2 linked regions of the Notamacropus eugenii genome follow. The protein of the gene in region 2 interacts with the protein of the main gene of each other region in a pairwise test. Links are inferred from orthologs where the notes say so. Each region holds a gene or a part of one and is shown on either strand. Other genes may lie near its edges.

Region 1 (7,867 bases), on a different chromosome or scaffold from region 2:
GCTATAAGTCAGGACGCAGCCCAACAGCTCGCCACACCTAGAAAGTTCAAACCTTCCGCCTGCCCCCAGAGCTGCGCGAGGAGCCTCCCGGCCAATCGCCGAGCACCTCCTAGAAGTCCCACCCCCAGACGCCTCCTGACCAATGGCCGTGAGTCTTCCCAGCGAATCCCACCCTCCCTCCCCGCCCCACCACGCGCGCCTCAGCCAATCTAATCTAGTCTGTAGACCCGCTCGCTGTGGCGTCACCTGCTGCTAGGCAGGACCCAAACTCAAAGAGATGGGCGGGACTCGGGATTGGGCGAATCTTCCGAGCAAGCGCGAGTCGGCGGCGGATTGGCTACGAGGTTACGGCGAAACCCGAGCTAAACTCCGCCTTCCGGGGAAAATCGGATACATGATTGGCTCATGCTTTGGCCATTCATCCCGTCCGCCCGGACCTCGCCCTTCCCACGCCTTCCACCCGGGAGATTTAAATCTCCACCCCCCTCACCCCCTCCCTTCGCTCCCTCTCGCCCCGCCCTCACCAGCTTATTTCTTTTGAATGGTGAATTTGAAAAACCTGGTGAGTGCAGGTGAGGGTTTCTGGGCTGTTTTATTCCCCCTACCTTCCTTTTCGCCTTAGCTAATGCACCGACTCCTCACCTTAGTGCTCTGAGAGGTGATGCGATGAAATGGAGAATCTGCCTTTAGAAACTCTGGAATTGAGGAGAGAGAGGTGTGTATTGGGGTGTGCAGGTTCTCCATTCCTTCCTTGGAAAGGAGTAGGGGAACGAAGGGCTTTTCCTGCTGCTGTCCAGTTTCAACTATTGTAGCCTGACCTCTCCTTTTTGCACCTTTCCGTGCTCTAAGCACGTATGGTATCGTGAATGACTGACTACCTCTGTCCTACCAGACTGTAGTTAAAAAAAACATCCTGAAAGGAAGAGAGTGTGTCTTATCTGAGCTCGATCTCCCCCAGGACCTGCAAACAGTAGGTGCTTAATAAAAGTCCAATGTAAGTTCGTTTGCTATTTATTGAAGCTCTGAGGATTGTGGAGGGTGTTTTAGAGATGTGGACACTAATTCAATCTGGCTGTCCAGGATCCAGATGAAGGATGTGTTTCTTTGGAAAAAGCACAGCAATCACCTAGTCATTCTGATACCTTCTTTACTTATAGAACCGATAAGAACATGCTTGGGCTTGGGAATTCTTCCTCTGGAGTGAAGATGGTGAGTGTGGGAGTCAGCACAGAGAACAGCTGCAGAAGGTGCAGGTGAGTTATGGAGTCTGGCAGATGGAGTGAGATGGCCGCAGTGTAAAGAGATGTTTAAGAACATTTTATGTTTTTCATAGCTATTTATTGATAGGACATTTATTTCTCCACAGGCAGGATGTAGAAACAGATGAGATTGTTCTTCGAAGGAGACAAAAGCAGATAGACTATGGGAAACGAACAGCTGGTTACCAGTGCTTCTCACAGCAAGTCCCTAAGTAAGAGCAGAGGGTTTGGGGATGGACAACATTTATCCTTTGAAGAACTGAAAATATCTTTTACCATCAATTGTTATCAATTAATACCAAGTCACCTTGATATTCATATTAGAATGCCTTAAGAAAAATTAGGAAGCCTATCAATTAATCTTGCTATTTTCTAAACATCTTTAAGCATTCTACATGGTCTATAATACTTGTTCTGATCTTGTTAATGGCTACCTTGTCTTCCTAAACCTTCTCATCACTTGCCTTTCTGCATCTTTATAAATAGAATCTTCTATTTAAAAATATTAGGCTAAACTTTCCTGGACTTATTCTGTCTCTTCTCTTAGACTTTGAACATGAGTCAGTACACTGTTATTCGTCAGTAAGGGAAGGCATTTTAGAGGGGTTCAACTTTGCAAGTAGCATGGTATAATAGAAAGAGTGGGGAATTTTGAGTCAGAGGACCTGAGCTCAAATTCTAGCCTTATTTACTGTAACTCATGTGGTCTTGTGTACAAGTCATTTAATATGCAAGTATTTATTAAGTGTCTACTATATGTTAGGTAGAAATGAAATAGTACCTTCCGTCAAGGCCCTTATGTTCTGAAGACAACCTGTACACAAAAGTATACAAGGTAATTTTTTTTTTTAGCGGGGGGAGCTGAAGGGCATAAAAACTTCATGTAAAAGGTGGACTTTGACCTTTGCTTTGAAGGAAATTAAGGATTCTGTGAGGTAGTGGTGAGGTAGGAGTGCATTCTAGGGATGGGATATAGCTACTGCAAAGTTCCAAAGCTCAGTCTCAGTTTTATCAGCTATAAAATGAGGGATTTGGTCTAAGCAGTCTCTGAGGTGTACCTTTCAGCTTTAAATCTGTGAGCCTATGAACATTGTTCTAAAGTTAGTCTCTGATACCTGCAAACAATTAATGAACTATGTCCAACAATGCTGAAGAATTCTTTCTTCAACTAGGCTGATTCTCAGTCATGCCAATAACACAGGAGCACTAAGCCTCTTCCATCTATTTATAGGTGTCTTTGACCATAATTTAAGATGTTCATTTTATCTCTAGGGCAACACGGCAGTCAGGACTTCACCCTCAAACACCTGACAAAAGCCGAAGGTACAGCCGACGTTCCTGGGATGCCCAGATCAGGCAATGGCGACGAGCCCTACATGCTTGGGATCCTCCCAGTCAGCCTTTGCTGTTCAAAGAGAATGATATGTGTTCTTGTACCTGGCTACAGTGAGTTGTGGGATTTGAGTTCTAAACCTTCTCTTCCTTTGACAAAAGCTAGGGTATAAGAGAAAGGACAAGGGCCAAAGTTTCTTAATGGAGTCATTGTAATGATACCTGAACCCTAGACTAATCTAAACCTTTTTCTTGCTCCCAGTTCTGAGAACAGCTACCTATATAAAAAATGGGTCTGCATTGGTCCTGGTTCATTCTGCCTTTGTTTCTTCTCCTAAATAAATATACCTTTGCTAGGCAGGGAGTGGAGAATATTTCAGGGAGCATGGATTCAGGATCTTCAGATGACTTCTTGAAAGGCTGGCTCAGTGTTCTGACTCCCCTGTGGAATCTAAATCAAGACCAAATGAGAACCCAGGTAGGTTCATAGGAACAGTATCAAAAGAGTTGTCTTTCAGGGTGTGGGTATATTTCATAATGAACAAATAAATCATTTTATTTATAATAATTTATAATACATGTTGTGTATTACATATTACATATAATAATTAATAATATATGATAATTTTATATAATAATTTATAATAAATAAAATATTACTTCATAATGGCTGAATTAAGGCTGAGTTCAAAACAGGTGTATACATACTAGATAAACTGGGGTTGGGATAGTTAACTGGGAATTGGAACGAGTAGAGTTTTCTTTTTATGCAAACAAGTCAATGATATATTGATCAGAAAGCTTAAATATGGAAATTAAACAAGTGTGGTGGGAGAAAGCAAGTATCTCAGAGCCCTAATTTTAGCCTCTGCCCCATAAAGTTACATTATCTACAAGCGTACTACCTTAAACTTTAGGAAGAATTGTCTGTTTAATACTTCACAGTCTGATCCTTACCAGGGTTTTACTTTCTGTTGTAAAATGTTTGCGGTTATTCTCTAGGAGTGGGGAAAAGGGGCATAATGAAGATCCTAATGAGTACTATTCCCTCCAAGCTAAGCTACCTCTGAGAAAAACAGGGAGGATAGATAGCTATTGTCTACCTACCTCTTGAAAATGGGCCCTTTCCCCTCTCTCTTTTCAGTTTGACATCTTGGCTCTTATCACCTCACTTCCCTGTCTCCAGCTGGAAGCTCCCTGTCACTGGCTATACTGCTTGGGAGATGGAAGCCACCTACCACTTTCAGTGTTGGGGCATGTGGAGTGTGCTGAGAAGACAAGGCCTTTAGGAAATTGGGCAGGGAGGCTGCCCAGCTTTCTGGGGCAAGACCCTCATTGACCCTTGATGAAGAAAATGCCCCCTATTTAGCTTAGTGTCCTGCCTTACTCTTTTTTTTCTTCTTTCCTGTTCCTTCCCTGTTTTACAAACTTGCCAGCCTGCAATAAGAAAGCCCTTCTCCACTGGCTCAAATTTGGGTTAAAATCACTTCTCTACCCCTTTGCCTCTCTGATGGCATGACTGTGGATTCATTTATTTCCCTTGGCATTCATTCTCAAGTCTCTGTCCCTGTTTTCCTCTATTTTAGCCTCTTTCATCTAGGTCTTTCTTGGGGGGGATGAGTTTTACTCGTAACTTGTGCAGTTACTTCAGACTGAAATCCTGTGGCTTTGGTGAAAGAATAGCCCTTTCCTCTCACTGACCACTCCTGCTTTATGGACAAAGAAGGTCTTTGCGAGGGTCTGACCACTTCTACACAAAGAATGAAAAGCGGGGTTTGATAGAGGAGTCCTGAGGGCGCTTCCTCTAGAATACATTGGGGGTGGGGGAGGGAGGAGGAAAAGAGCTGAGCTTATTATGATGTCATAATCACAATCCAATTACCTCATCCTGCTGTGACTGGAAGGGCGGGGGATGGGGGGCGTTGATGGAAGAAGAGAAGGGGCCCAGGCCCACTGAGTGTAGTAATGGACGTGCAGGCGCGACTTCGGGAGAAAGAAGAAAGGGCTGGGGATGGGGCTAAGGTCCTGGGATCCAGATCGGGAATTCGCCCCCCCTGCCCCTCAGCCTTTCCTGCTGCCCGTTGTTCTGGAACCCTATTCAAGCAGGCCCCAAGTCTGGCCAGCATTGGACTACACCTCCCATCTGCCCCTGGGTCGCAGACGAGTCCTCAGTGGCAGGGAAGAGGGGTTTTTTTCAAAGCAGTGGCAGTATAGGGAGAAATAGAAAAACGAACACCGGGGTGCGAGGCTTGTTCTGCTAGAGGTCAAGGTCAGAGAAGGCGTCTTAGTCAGACTGGAGCAGGAACTGTAGAGAGAGGGCCTGAGTTTGTTTACCTCTGTCTATTCTCCCCACTGGCCCGAAGTTAGTTCAGCCTAGAGCCGGTCCCTTCCACCTTCCGCAATTCGGTAGGGGAACCTAGTGGGGAGCAAGACCCCTTTGAGGCGAGGTACATCGAGAGGAGCAAGTGTTGCACCTTTTCCATCACGGACGCTACTGATTACCAGCAGTTTTTGGGGGAGGGAGAGGAAACCCCAGGAATTCTGGCCCTCGCACGGGGCTTCGGGGCAAGTCCTGGGAGTGGGGAAGCTACCCCCCCCTCTCTGGCAGGGGGACGATTGGTTCGCTCCGGCGTTATTTAAGGGCGCCGTGGGGCAAGTGGCGAGCTCAGAGCTGCTCCGGCTGCGGCCCTGGGAAGGGGACCGAGCTGCGGTACGTAGCGGGCGGGCGGGCCCTGGGGGCAGGTGGCGCTGGGCCCTGGGGCGGAGACCTCAGCTGCCCCTCCCTTCCTCCTTCCTTTCCCAGCTAGTCCCTCCTCACGGCCTGGCTTTGCAGGCCGCCCCGTTGCGGGGAGCCCAGGACTGGTGGGGGAGGGGGCCGCTAGAGCACCGTGTCCCCAGACATCTTCCCCCCCCCCCCCCCCCAAACTCCTTTACGGGCCCGGGTCCTGGGCCAGAAGGCTGGCGTTAGGGGGCGGGTAGCGGCTCCTCTGACGTCATCCGCCCCCACCCCCACAGGGTCATAGGTCACCTCTTGCCCCTCCCGTGGTTAAGGTAGCGGCAACCCAGGGATGGAGGGGGTAGTGTGTAGTCTTAATTGTGGGTGGAGAAGGGGTGGGCAGCATCCATCACACCCACCCACCCCAGGCACCACCAGGGCCTTGGAGAAAGGAACCCCTCCCCCGCCGTTGTTTTTATTCATACTCTAACCCCAAGCTGGGGGTGGGGGTGGGGGCGTTGTGATGGAGGGAGAAGGCCTGGAGTCCCCAGAAAATCTCCCGCCAGCCTGTCCCATTGAACTAAGTAGATCTACCCCCAAGGGAGACTTCTGCTCTTCAGCTCTGACTCTGTTTCTGAGACCCAAGTATCAGTGATCACTTAGATCTTTGGGGAGTGGGGAAATGTCAGTGCCCCATTGGGGAAGAGGGTTGGGTCTTCTGGGTACCTAAGAGGCCAAGCCAGATGCCTCCTCCCAAAAGGGCTTCGATCCTTGGCGGTTATTAGGCTGAGAAGTTTTAACTTGTTTAGTGTGGGTTCAGGACTTTCTTTATTCTGCAGTTAGAAGATAAGGTAATGAAGGAGCCAAGACTAAGCCTTCTAATGCTTTAGGTTTGGCCCTCTCCAAGCTAGGTTGCCTTTTTTATATCTTGGTTCAATTGTTTCAGGTTCCCTCCCCCCCCCCCCCACTCTGTTTTAAGAAACGTAGAGCCCAAAATGTCAGTTAATGTGATAGGTAGTAGTTGGCTTGTTGCAATGACTTGTGTATGACCACATCCCAGCAATTAAAATGCAGAAAATATGAAATTATCCTCTTCATCCTCTTGATTCTAGAGAGAAAAAAAACTAGGAGTTTCCTATGGCCCAAATCTTGAGAGCCTGAAAATGAGTTTACCTCACCCTCCAAAGGCTGTCCCTAGTATCTGAATGCAACTAGGTACCCTTTTCCATTGATGGATCTCCAAAAAGGCAGCTTTAAGAAACCAAGAGCATTTAGTATAACGTAGCTTGAGTTTTATCTTCTGTAACAAGGGCCTATATAGGGGAAGCAGCTGAGGAGAAATCTCAGTGTATAGGATTTCTGTAATGCTTTTTATTTTTTATTCTTTTTGAAGAGCATAGAGAACTTTCCCAGTGTCTCAGGAAACTTATCTTTCCATGAGATGGGTATGGATTAAGGAATATTCTCCCCATTTTACAGAAGGGAAAAAGTCGCATACAAAGCAGAACTTGTCATATACAAACAGTGCCCTTTTAGACTTATGTGAGTACACAGGCACAAGTGAATGAATGAGTGAATGGTGTCCAGCCAGAAAGGTAGAACAGATTGCCTTCTGCATCCTAATGATGTCATCACTCCCAGCATCCCTAGGCTTTGTGGTGCATTGAACAGGAAGAGTGAGAGATGATACCCTGCTGGACTCCTCTGAAATGATTCCTTGGATTTATGGAGTGTGTTGTTTCACAGAGCTCAAATTGCTTTTATCTCTTAATTACCGGTATACTATTATTTCTCCCTCATTTTAATTATGAAGAAACTGAGACCCAGAGAAACTGATGTTATTTGCCCAAGATTTGTACAGCATATAGCCAGTAAGGTTGGAATTGGTATTAAAACCTCGGTAGCCCTTAACTTCTTCCATTAAAGTAAGTTATGTACTCCAAAGGATTATATTGCCCTCTAGGTCATTCCTAAAATTGGATAAACAGAAGCCATTGACAGAGTAAGTTAACATCTTTTCAGTCCACTAGAAGTCCCACAGCTGATGTGGGTTTGGAGCCTGCTGTTAAATACATGTTCCTTCAGACTCGTATCAGGAAGTTGCTTCACTATCAGTATATATAGGATAGCCTTGGAGCCAGAGCAACCCTGAAATTTGGTAGAATGAGGTCATATAGAGCTGTAGGATTGGAATTGTTTTGCTCACCAGTTTTTTAGGTTTTCATTCAAAATTTTTAGGAGGCATTTCTCAAACATGATCATTCTATCAAAGAAAACAATAACTTAGTAATTCAGATTTAATGCAGGGCAAAATTCTGTTCCGCAAGAACCACACATTTTATCCTACTTCTCTGTGGTTTAGGCACATTAGAAAAGAACACTTCTCTCGTCAAGAACTACAGGTGAAGTTTCTTGGCCACTGGTTTCATTGTCCTTGAAAGAAAACATTCAAACTTACTATCTGACTGAGCAAAATTGAACTTTGGACATAGTGTGACTGACCCCTCAGCAATTGGCACCCCACTGAGGTCTCATGTTACTTTTTGTACAACTTGAGTGT
Region 2 (7,804 bases):
CCCATAAGGATGATAGCTAACATTTATAGAGCGCTTACATGCCAAGCACTGTGTTACCAAGTTTTTGCAATTCTCTCATTTGATTTTTGTGCCAACTTTGGAAGGTAGGTGCTATTTTCATCCTCATGTTACAAATGAGGAAACTGAGGCAAGAGGTTAAGCGACTTACACGGGGAATCATGGCATTTCCTAGTTTCCTTTAGTCCTAGAAGTTCCATGTTTCCCTCCCCCATTCTAAAGTGTGCTGACAAGTTCCCTGTTTGCTAACTGTAAGTTTACATAGCCACCATTTGTGTCTAAGATGGAATTTGAACTCGGGTTCTAGCCCTGGCTCTCTACCCACTGAGCCATCAAGCTGCCACACTCCTCTAAGGAGGTGAGATTTGAACCCTGGTCTTCCTAAGGCCCTTTCGAGGCTGCTGCTGAATCTACTATATACCTTGTGAATACTTTTCATAAAAACACTCCCCTTAATTCAAGTCCAAATCCTGTGATTTGATTAATGAGCTCTACGACTAGGCCAAAGTACAGGTAATAAACTCACCTATTTGTTCAAGAAAGTTCATTTTTAGGAGAACTTTAAGTTTTTGTTTAAAGCTGAATCCAAGTGTAGTGTAAACATACCAAGAAATTCAAATATTAGCTGCTTACCAATTGTTCTTTGTGTTCCACTGTTTGTCATCCTACAGAATGGCTAGATGTGACATTAAAGATAGAAAGATGATCAGCCCCAATGTACATCTGGAGGTCACTGATTAGTATGTCTAAAGGCAAAGTGATATGGTAAAAATATTCCGGACAGTGGAACAACCCTTCATCCTATCACAAATATCATTTTCTCCAGCAGGGTATATACAATAAAATTTTCAGTCCCACTCGGCTCTTGTATTATATCACATTTCTGCATTACCTTGGCCATGGGCCATTCGAACACTCCCTACCACCCGGGCGCATTGCAGCCTCGGTGCCATTATGTGTGACATCACCATGTTGCTAAGGCAATGAGTGCGAGGTCATAAGCTTTCCTGAAAAACTGCAAATGAGGAAGAATTAGAAGATTCGGAAGACAGCAGTCAAGACAAATCCATTTAAGATCAAGGCCTGTTAAAATGCCCAGGCTAATATACTGCAAAAAGAAGAAACTGAGGTTTGAATGAAAGGTTAAAAGCTATCAATGGTACCGATATTATGTTGAAATACAGGCTAGATAGAGCATCTACCCTCAATTGTAATATAATTCTAGCAGGGAGCTCCTACCCTCCTAATACTCTTTTTAAATGTCTAAACATAAAACGTTTCAGCATGGCCTACTTTAATGATCCAGTTCAACTTACATAGGTGTGACTGAAATCATGATAATACATGGGATCTTCCAATTAAGGAGGATTTATCCTATATACTTGGCTTATTCAGTCATCCAGTTTTTAATTGGTGTATTTTTAATACCTTAGTTATATAACTGTATACCTTTGTTATCTATTTGTCAAGGATACCTGAAAAGAGCCTGCCAAATATTAGAACGGAGGCACTCAAGTCATCCATCAGATCCTGCCATTTCCAGGGTTCCTTTGGTCCCGTTCCAACCCTGCCTCCCTCCCTCCCCCGTTCTCGAGCATGCTGACATGTTGCCCCTCTGATAAATGTAAGGTTACTGAAAAAATGCTGCAATAGAGGCAGACATCTGTGCACCAGACAGGCTGCGACATTTCAAGATCAGCATTTCCTTTTCATCAGCAGGAGGGGACACTCCAGCCTTTTCTTTATTAAAAGGAGAAAAAAAGAGCTCAGACCTGTGTCACGAAACAAATAAAAAAACATTTTCCCCCTTTAAAGCAACCCCTCCCTCCCTCCACCCAGTCTAGCCTCTCTGCAATATGACAAATGCAGAATCTTCTGGAATGACTTGATACTGCCTCCCACGATCGCTTTGTTTGCAAGATCAGATCAGAGAGATGATTTTTTTTTAACTTATAAGGATTTCAATAGATGTATGCCTGCATTTAGAAAAGAAACAGCAAATGTCACAAATTGAACCACTAGGCTTGATGCATAACCTTTATTTTAAGGGGAAATACCGCATGTTTCAATTGACAAGTCTGAGAGGGAAAAAAAAACGGAGATACGTTCGAGACAATGAAAAGAAAATGATAAAACGGTAAAATACTCCCCCCCCAGCCCCCATCCCTCCTCCCCGAAGGCAGGAAGAAGGAAGGGGAAGGAGGTGGGGGCATTTTTAAAGAAGAAACTGAGCAAATAAGAGCCACGCACGGCGATCTCGGAAGGACTGGGTTTTTTTTTAACTGACCCAGGGATTTTTCTGCCCCCCACCCCGACTCCCCCTTCCTGAATTCCTCCGGGGTGGGGGGAGGGGAGGGAGGGGTGGGGGGAGCAGAAAGGAGAAAGCAGGCGCAGGCTGGCGAGTGAATGGGAGAGGCGCCGCCCAGACAGACAGAGAAAGAGGAACCTCCAAAGAGCGACCGCATGGACGCGGCGCCCCCCCCAGCCCCACCCCACCTACTCCCAACGCCCCCCACACTGCAGGGAGGGCACAAAGGGTGACCCCCCCCCCATCTGGCAGCCCAGCAGTGTAAAGGATGGGGATGGAGGCCTCACGCCAGCCATCCGCCCTGTCGCGACACGAGGCCGGGGGGGGGGGGGGCCTATCGCGACAAGGCTCTCGGGCCGCCCGGGCACTGTCGCGACAGAGGGAGGGGGCACTCACGTTCTTCATGGCCGCGGCCATATCGTCGTAGCGCTCCGCCTGCTCGGCCAGCCGGGCTTTCTGCACCAGTTGCTCGCGGTCCACCATCTTCGCGGGGCGGCTCGGGCCGGCTCCTGCGGGGCTGCGGGGCTGCGGGCGGCGGCGGGGAAGGCGCGCGCGGCAGAGGCGGCGGCGACGGCTCAAGCCCGGGCGGCAGGCCGACCAATCACGTCCGCGGGACGGCGGCGGCAGAGGCTGCTCGGGCTCCGGCTCCTGCTGCTGCTGCTGCTCCTGCTGCTGCTGCTCCTCCTGCTGCTGCTGCTGCTGAGGCTCGTGCTGCAAAGGAGGAACCCGGCGCGAGGCGGCTGCGGCTGCTGCGCGTGCCGCGGGAGAACAACCCCCTCCGGCCACGCCCACGGTCCTGACGTCAGCTCGAGGCCCCGCCCCACGACCCCCTTCCCCCCTCCGCCTCCTCGGCCCTCTCCTCGTCCTCTCCCGTCACCGCCTCGTCGCGAGGACCCCTGGGACGTGTAGTTCTGTCCACGGGGAGCGAGATCCTCTGATAACGTCTGGGCTGACGAAGGGAAGACTACACTTCCCAGGAGGCTTTGCGCGGAAATCCCTCGGTCTTTGAAGGAGGGGAGAGGCCGAGGAGAGTGGGGCTTTTAGCAGCAGGGCACTTACACAAGGAGGGAGGGACTTGGGGGAGAGAGCCTGAGCCACAGGGGGCGGGGGTGGGGGTGGGAGCGCCACCTTGGGCGCGCCCCTCTCCCCGGGTTGTACTCGCAACCATGGAGGAGTGGGGGAGGGAGGGCGCGGCGTGCCATGCGTCACCCAGACGGAATGCTGATTCACTGCCTCCGGAGGCTCCGCCCTCTCCTTCTCTGCCCAGCCCCGCCCTTCCCCCCTTCCCAGCCCAGCCCGGCCCGGGCCTGCGCACCTCCCTCCCTTCCTCCTCCCAATCCTGTTCTCTAGGGATGTTGACCCTGGTTGAATGGGGGGTGGGGGTGGGCGCTCTTTTCCTTGTCACCCTCCTGCTCAGTAAGCTCCAGTGGCTCCCTACTACCCCTGGGATCAAATCCAATATCTTCTGCTGGCCTGTAAAAACCCCCCACAACCTGGGACCGAACTTCCTTAACTGCCCCCCTCCTCTTGTTCCCCTCCCCCTCCGATCCCCAGGCCCTTCGGGGCTCAGCCCAAGAACCGTCCACCCTCCTGGATCGGTGTCCTCCCACTTAGCTATTATGGTGATCCCCGGGAGAGTGAGTGGAAGGCCCCTGAGGGCAGGCACTGGGATCCCCAGTAGGACCCTGGACAACCCAGACCCCTAGTCCCTTCTCTCCGTCCCCTGCACCTGGAGCCTGGGATGTTCCTCCACCCCATCCCGGTGTCCTGGACTCTCGCGAGTCCTTCCTTCAGCACCCAGCTCATCACCCCCTTCCACCTGCCTCCAGTGAGATTAAATCCAGTTTAACCTGGCTGGGACCAAGTGAGACCAAATGAGATCTTTCTATTATCTATAGAGATACAATCTACAGATGCAGATAGCCTTACATATCTATAGATATGCAATCTGCAGATAGAGATGCCTTCATTGTGTGTTGTTTGCAAGATAGATATATGAAATATCTAACGGCCTTGATAGACATAGGTGTGTATCTAGATAGATACAAGATAGATATATCCAGATATGGACAGATCTCAATAGACATATATCCTAATAAATACGGACCAATATTAGATAGATCGATGGATCGATCTGGCTACCATTTTTACATTGAGCTACTATATAAAGTTCCATACATTTCACCTGGAAACAATATTCTCATGTCCCTCCTAGCCCTTCCAGTTCCAGTAGCTGACCATTACTAAGGAAGATTTTCGGTTTTTCCTATACAGTGTGGCCAGCACACAGTTGCTTGCCTGCTGTCTCCTCCTGTCCCTCCTGGAAAGCCTGAGTTTTTGCCTTTCTTTATATTTATTGTGCTTAGCACAGCGCCTGGTACATAGTAAAATGCTTAATGTATATTTTACCAATTTGTTGCTTGTGGTGCCTAATAAATGCTTGTTGAATTGGATTGAAATGGCCTGAACAGAATAAAATGCTAAGGTCCATCCCTACTCCTCAACAAAGCTGTCCATGAACATTCTAACACTTTCCTCCATTAAGGACATAGTCTGGTTTTGGTTGGGTACACAATGCACAGAGAGTCACAAAGAACTGAGTACAAGTCCTGACTCTAACACAGGCTATGTCACCCTGGGCAAGTCATTTGATTTCTAAGGGCTGCAGACAACTCTCTAAATTTAGAGGTTGCAGAGAAGGTTCTGGCTTTCATTGACAGAGTTTCCTCACTATAGATTTTAATGAAATCAGAAGTCCAGTGCCTGTCTTCTGGAATGAATCAACATTTCTCTCCATCACAGGTCATGGACTCTGGCCTCATGGTCATTTGGAAAGAGTCCTGGACATAGAGTATGGAGATTCCTGCTCTTGATTGATATCTGTCACTGTGTGACCCGGGGTGAATCACTTATGCTTTGGGGGCCTGGCTTTCTCCCACTACAAAATGAAGGTCGCGTCCAGCTGGAACAATCGATAGGATGGTGATCTCATGCCCAGGGAGAGCATCTAGCTAACAACCTGGCTCTCAGTAGGAAGGAAGGAGGGGCCTGGATGACAGGGCCACAGAGGGCTGCTCCTCACTTCTCTCTACCTTGGTATAAATGGGAAGTGAACTGTGATTCATCAACAAAATGAAACTACTTGAGGCAAAAAGGAAACAGGCATGACCAACTGCCCTACATTGCAACTTTCCTAAGAGAACAGTAAAAACTGTGTGCATGACTCTTAAGCCCTCAGTATTCCAATCCTTATGTAGTCCTCCTGGGACTTTATGGGCCTCCTGGGAATTCAAATGAGGGTACACACACACACACACACACACACACACACACACACACACACACACACACACGACCAAACTATCCACAAGACCAAACTATCACACAGTCCTGAAGAGGACCAGGAGGCCTGTTTCTAAGACCTCAGTTCAATGAATAATGTTAACACACGTTTACTAATGTCTACCGTATAGGGCTACAGAAAAAAACCAATTAATCCCTCTCTTTAAGGAGCTTGCATTTCCCTGGAAGAATACATAATAGAGTCATAGATTTAGAGCGGGAAGGGACCTTAGAGGTTATGAAGCCCAACCCCCTAGTTTTCTAGAGGAGGAAAAGTAGATAAGTAAATGCTCTAGGGTTTGGAGTTCCCTGGTCTTTTTTTCAACTCCAAACCCCTTCTGTTCATGTAGATGATTAAGGATAGAGGTCTGGTGAGGAAGGAACATCCAGAAAACAGTTTAGCTGGGTGAAAGGTTTCTCCTACCTCCCCAGCTAGGTCAAGTCTACAAACATTTATGAACCACCTACTGTGGGCCAAGACCTGTGCTAAGTAGTGGGAATATTTTTTTAAAAATTTAAAAAGACAAAAACCAGTCCTGCTCTTAGTTCAAACTTACTGCAATATTAAACATATTCAAAGAAATACACAGAAAATTCCAGGCAGGCCTTTTTAGCCTAAAAAGTATATGCCCTTGTTCTGCCATCTTGTGTTTGCTTATTTCTATCTGGCTGTCCAAAGGTTTCTGGGCCTGGCTACCATGTTTACATTGGGCTACTACTATATAAAGTTCCATACATTTCACCTGGAAACAATATTCTCATGTCCCTCCTAGTCCTTCCAGTTCCAGTAGCTGACCATTACTAAGGCAGGTTTCCGGTTTTTCCTATCCAGTGTGGCTAGCACACACACATTTCCTGAGGAGGAAGAGGAAGAAGTCCCGCCTGATTATAAGCTGTTTGAGGACAGGGACTTTGTCTCATTCATCTTTTTTTTTCTTTTCAGGGCTAGAAATAGAATGTGGCACCCTGACTCAAGAAGCTTCAGGGCATCCCCATTGTGTTTAAGATGAAATTAAAATTCCTTCTTTGTCACTCTAGCCTGATGATAGCTTGGGTCCAACCTATCTTTCTAGGCTGATTATGTTTTAGTCACTTTCAGTTGAGAAAATTCTTCATGAAGCCGTTTGGGGTTTTCTTGGCAAAGATACTGGAGTGGTTTGCCGTTTCCTTCTCCAGTTCATTTGACAGGTGAGGAAACTGAGACAAACAGGGTGAAGTGACTTGCCCAGGGTCACTCAGCTAATAAGTATCTGAGGTCAAATTTGAACTCAGGTCTTCCTGACTCCAGACCTGGTGCTCTCTCCACTGAACCACTTAGAGACCCTTGATCCCACTTTATTCCCCCTCATGGGTTACATTTTAGCCAAACCAGACAACTTGCTGTTCTCTGTTCACAGCATCCCATCTTCTGCCTTCAGAGTTCATGTAACAGGGATTTCACAGAATATTCAGGGATTCCTGGACTGTTTATGGCCAATCACATGGGGCCAGAAGCAACTAGGTGATAAAGTAATTAGGGACGTGCAGTCAAGAAGACTAGAATTCAAATCCTTCCTCAGACACTTACTGGTTGTGTGACCCTGGGCAAATCACTTAACCTTATTCCTCACTTTCCTTGTCTGTGAGATGATGATGATGATGGTGGTGGTGGTGGTGGTGGTGATAAGACCACCTTACAGGGTTGTTTTGAGGATCAAATGATTTAACATATTAAAGCACTTTGCAGATCCTTAAAATGCCATATAAATACCAGCCGTTATTATTATTGATATGATTATGTATGTGTGACTCAGCAGTGAAAGAATTTGGCACTTTAACATCTCATATCAAATCTTCAGAGGTCCCTTGGTCCTTCCCCTACCTTTGACAACAGAATGGGCATGGATGGTTGTGTCAATTAAAAACTAACTCCCATATGGCAAATAGGTCTGTAGCTAGGTTTCCTGTAAGGAGGTAGGAGGATAGGAGGTCTCTTCCTCCACCCCCAAACCTTTGACCATTCCCACATTGGAGCATGGTACCAAATAGAAAAGCTTCTACCTGAACCTCTGACTGCCTTTCCTGCTTTGGATTTCCTTTCTTAAGTACATGATCAAACATTATTCTCTCTCTCTCTCTCTCTCTCTCTCTCTCTCT

The links.
Region 1: the proteins of YWHAG (region 2) and FAM53C interact in binary tests that used the Homo sapiens proteins (3 or more experiments, as listed by UniProt). The link is inferred for Notamacropus eugenii from reciprocal best matches to the Homo sapiens genes YWHAG and FAM53C.

What each region holds. Positions count from the first base shown.
Region 1 is NC_092872.1:365,474,866-365,482,732, forward strand, and holds the start of FAM53C (protein FAM53C), read left to right. Parts: upstream 1-4,798; 5' UTR 4,799-5,301; intron 5,302-7,867. Other genes in the region: oocyte-specific histone RNA stem-loop-binding protein 2-like, read left to right, coding at 672-715, 1,158-1,253, 1,367-1,471, 2,532-2,705, 2,949-3,069, 3,736-3,930.
Region 2 is NC_092873.1:51,333,235-51,341,038, forward strand, and holds the start of YWHAG (14-3-3 protein gamma), read right to left. Parts: upstream 3,098-7,804; 5' UTR 2,810-3,097; coding exon 2,723-2,809; intron 1-2,722. UniProt on the Homo sapiens protein: Adapter protein implicated in the regulation of a large spectrum of both general and specialized signaling pathways. Binds to a large number of partners, usually by recognition of a phosphoserine or phosphothreonine motif.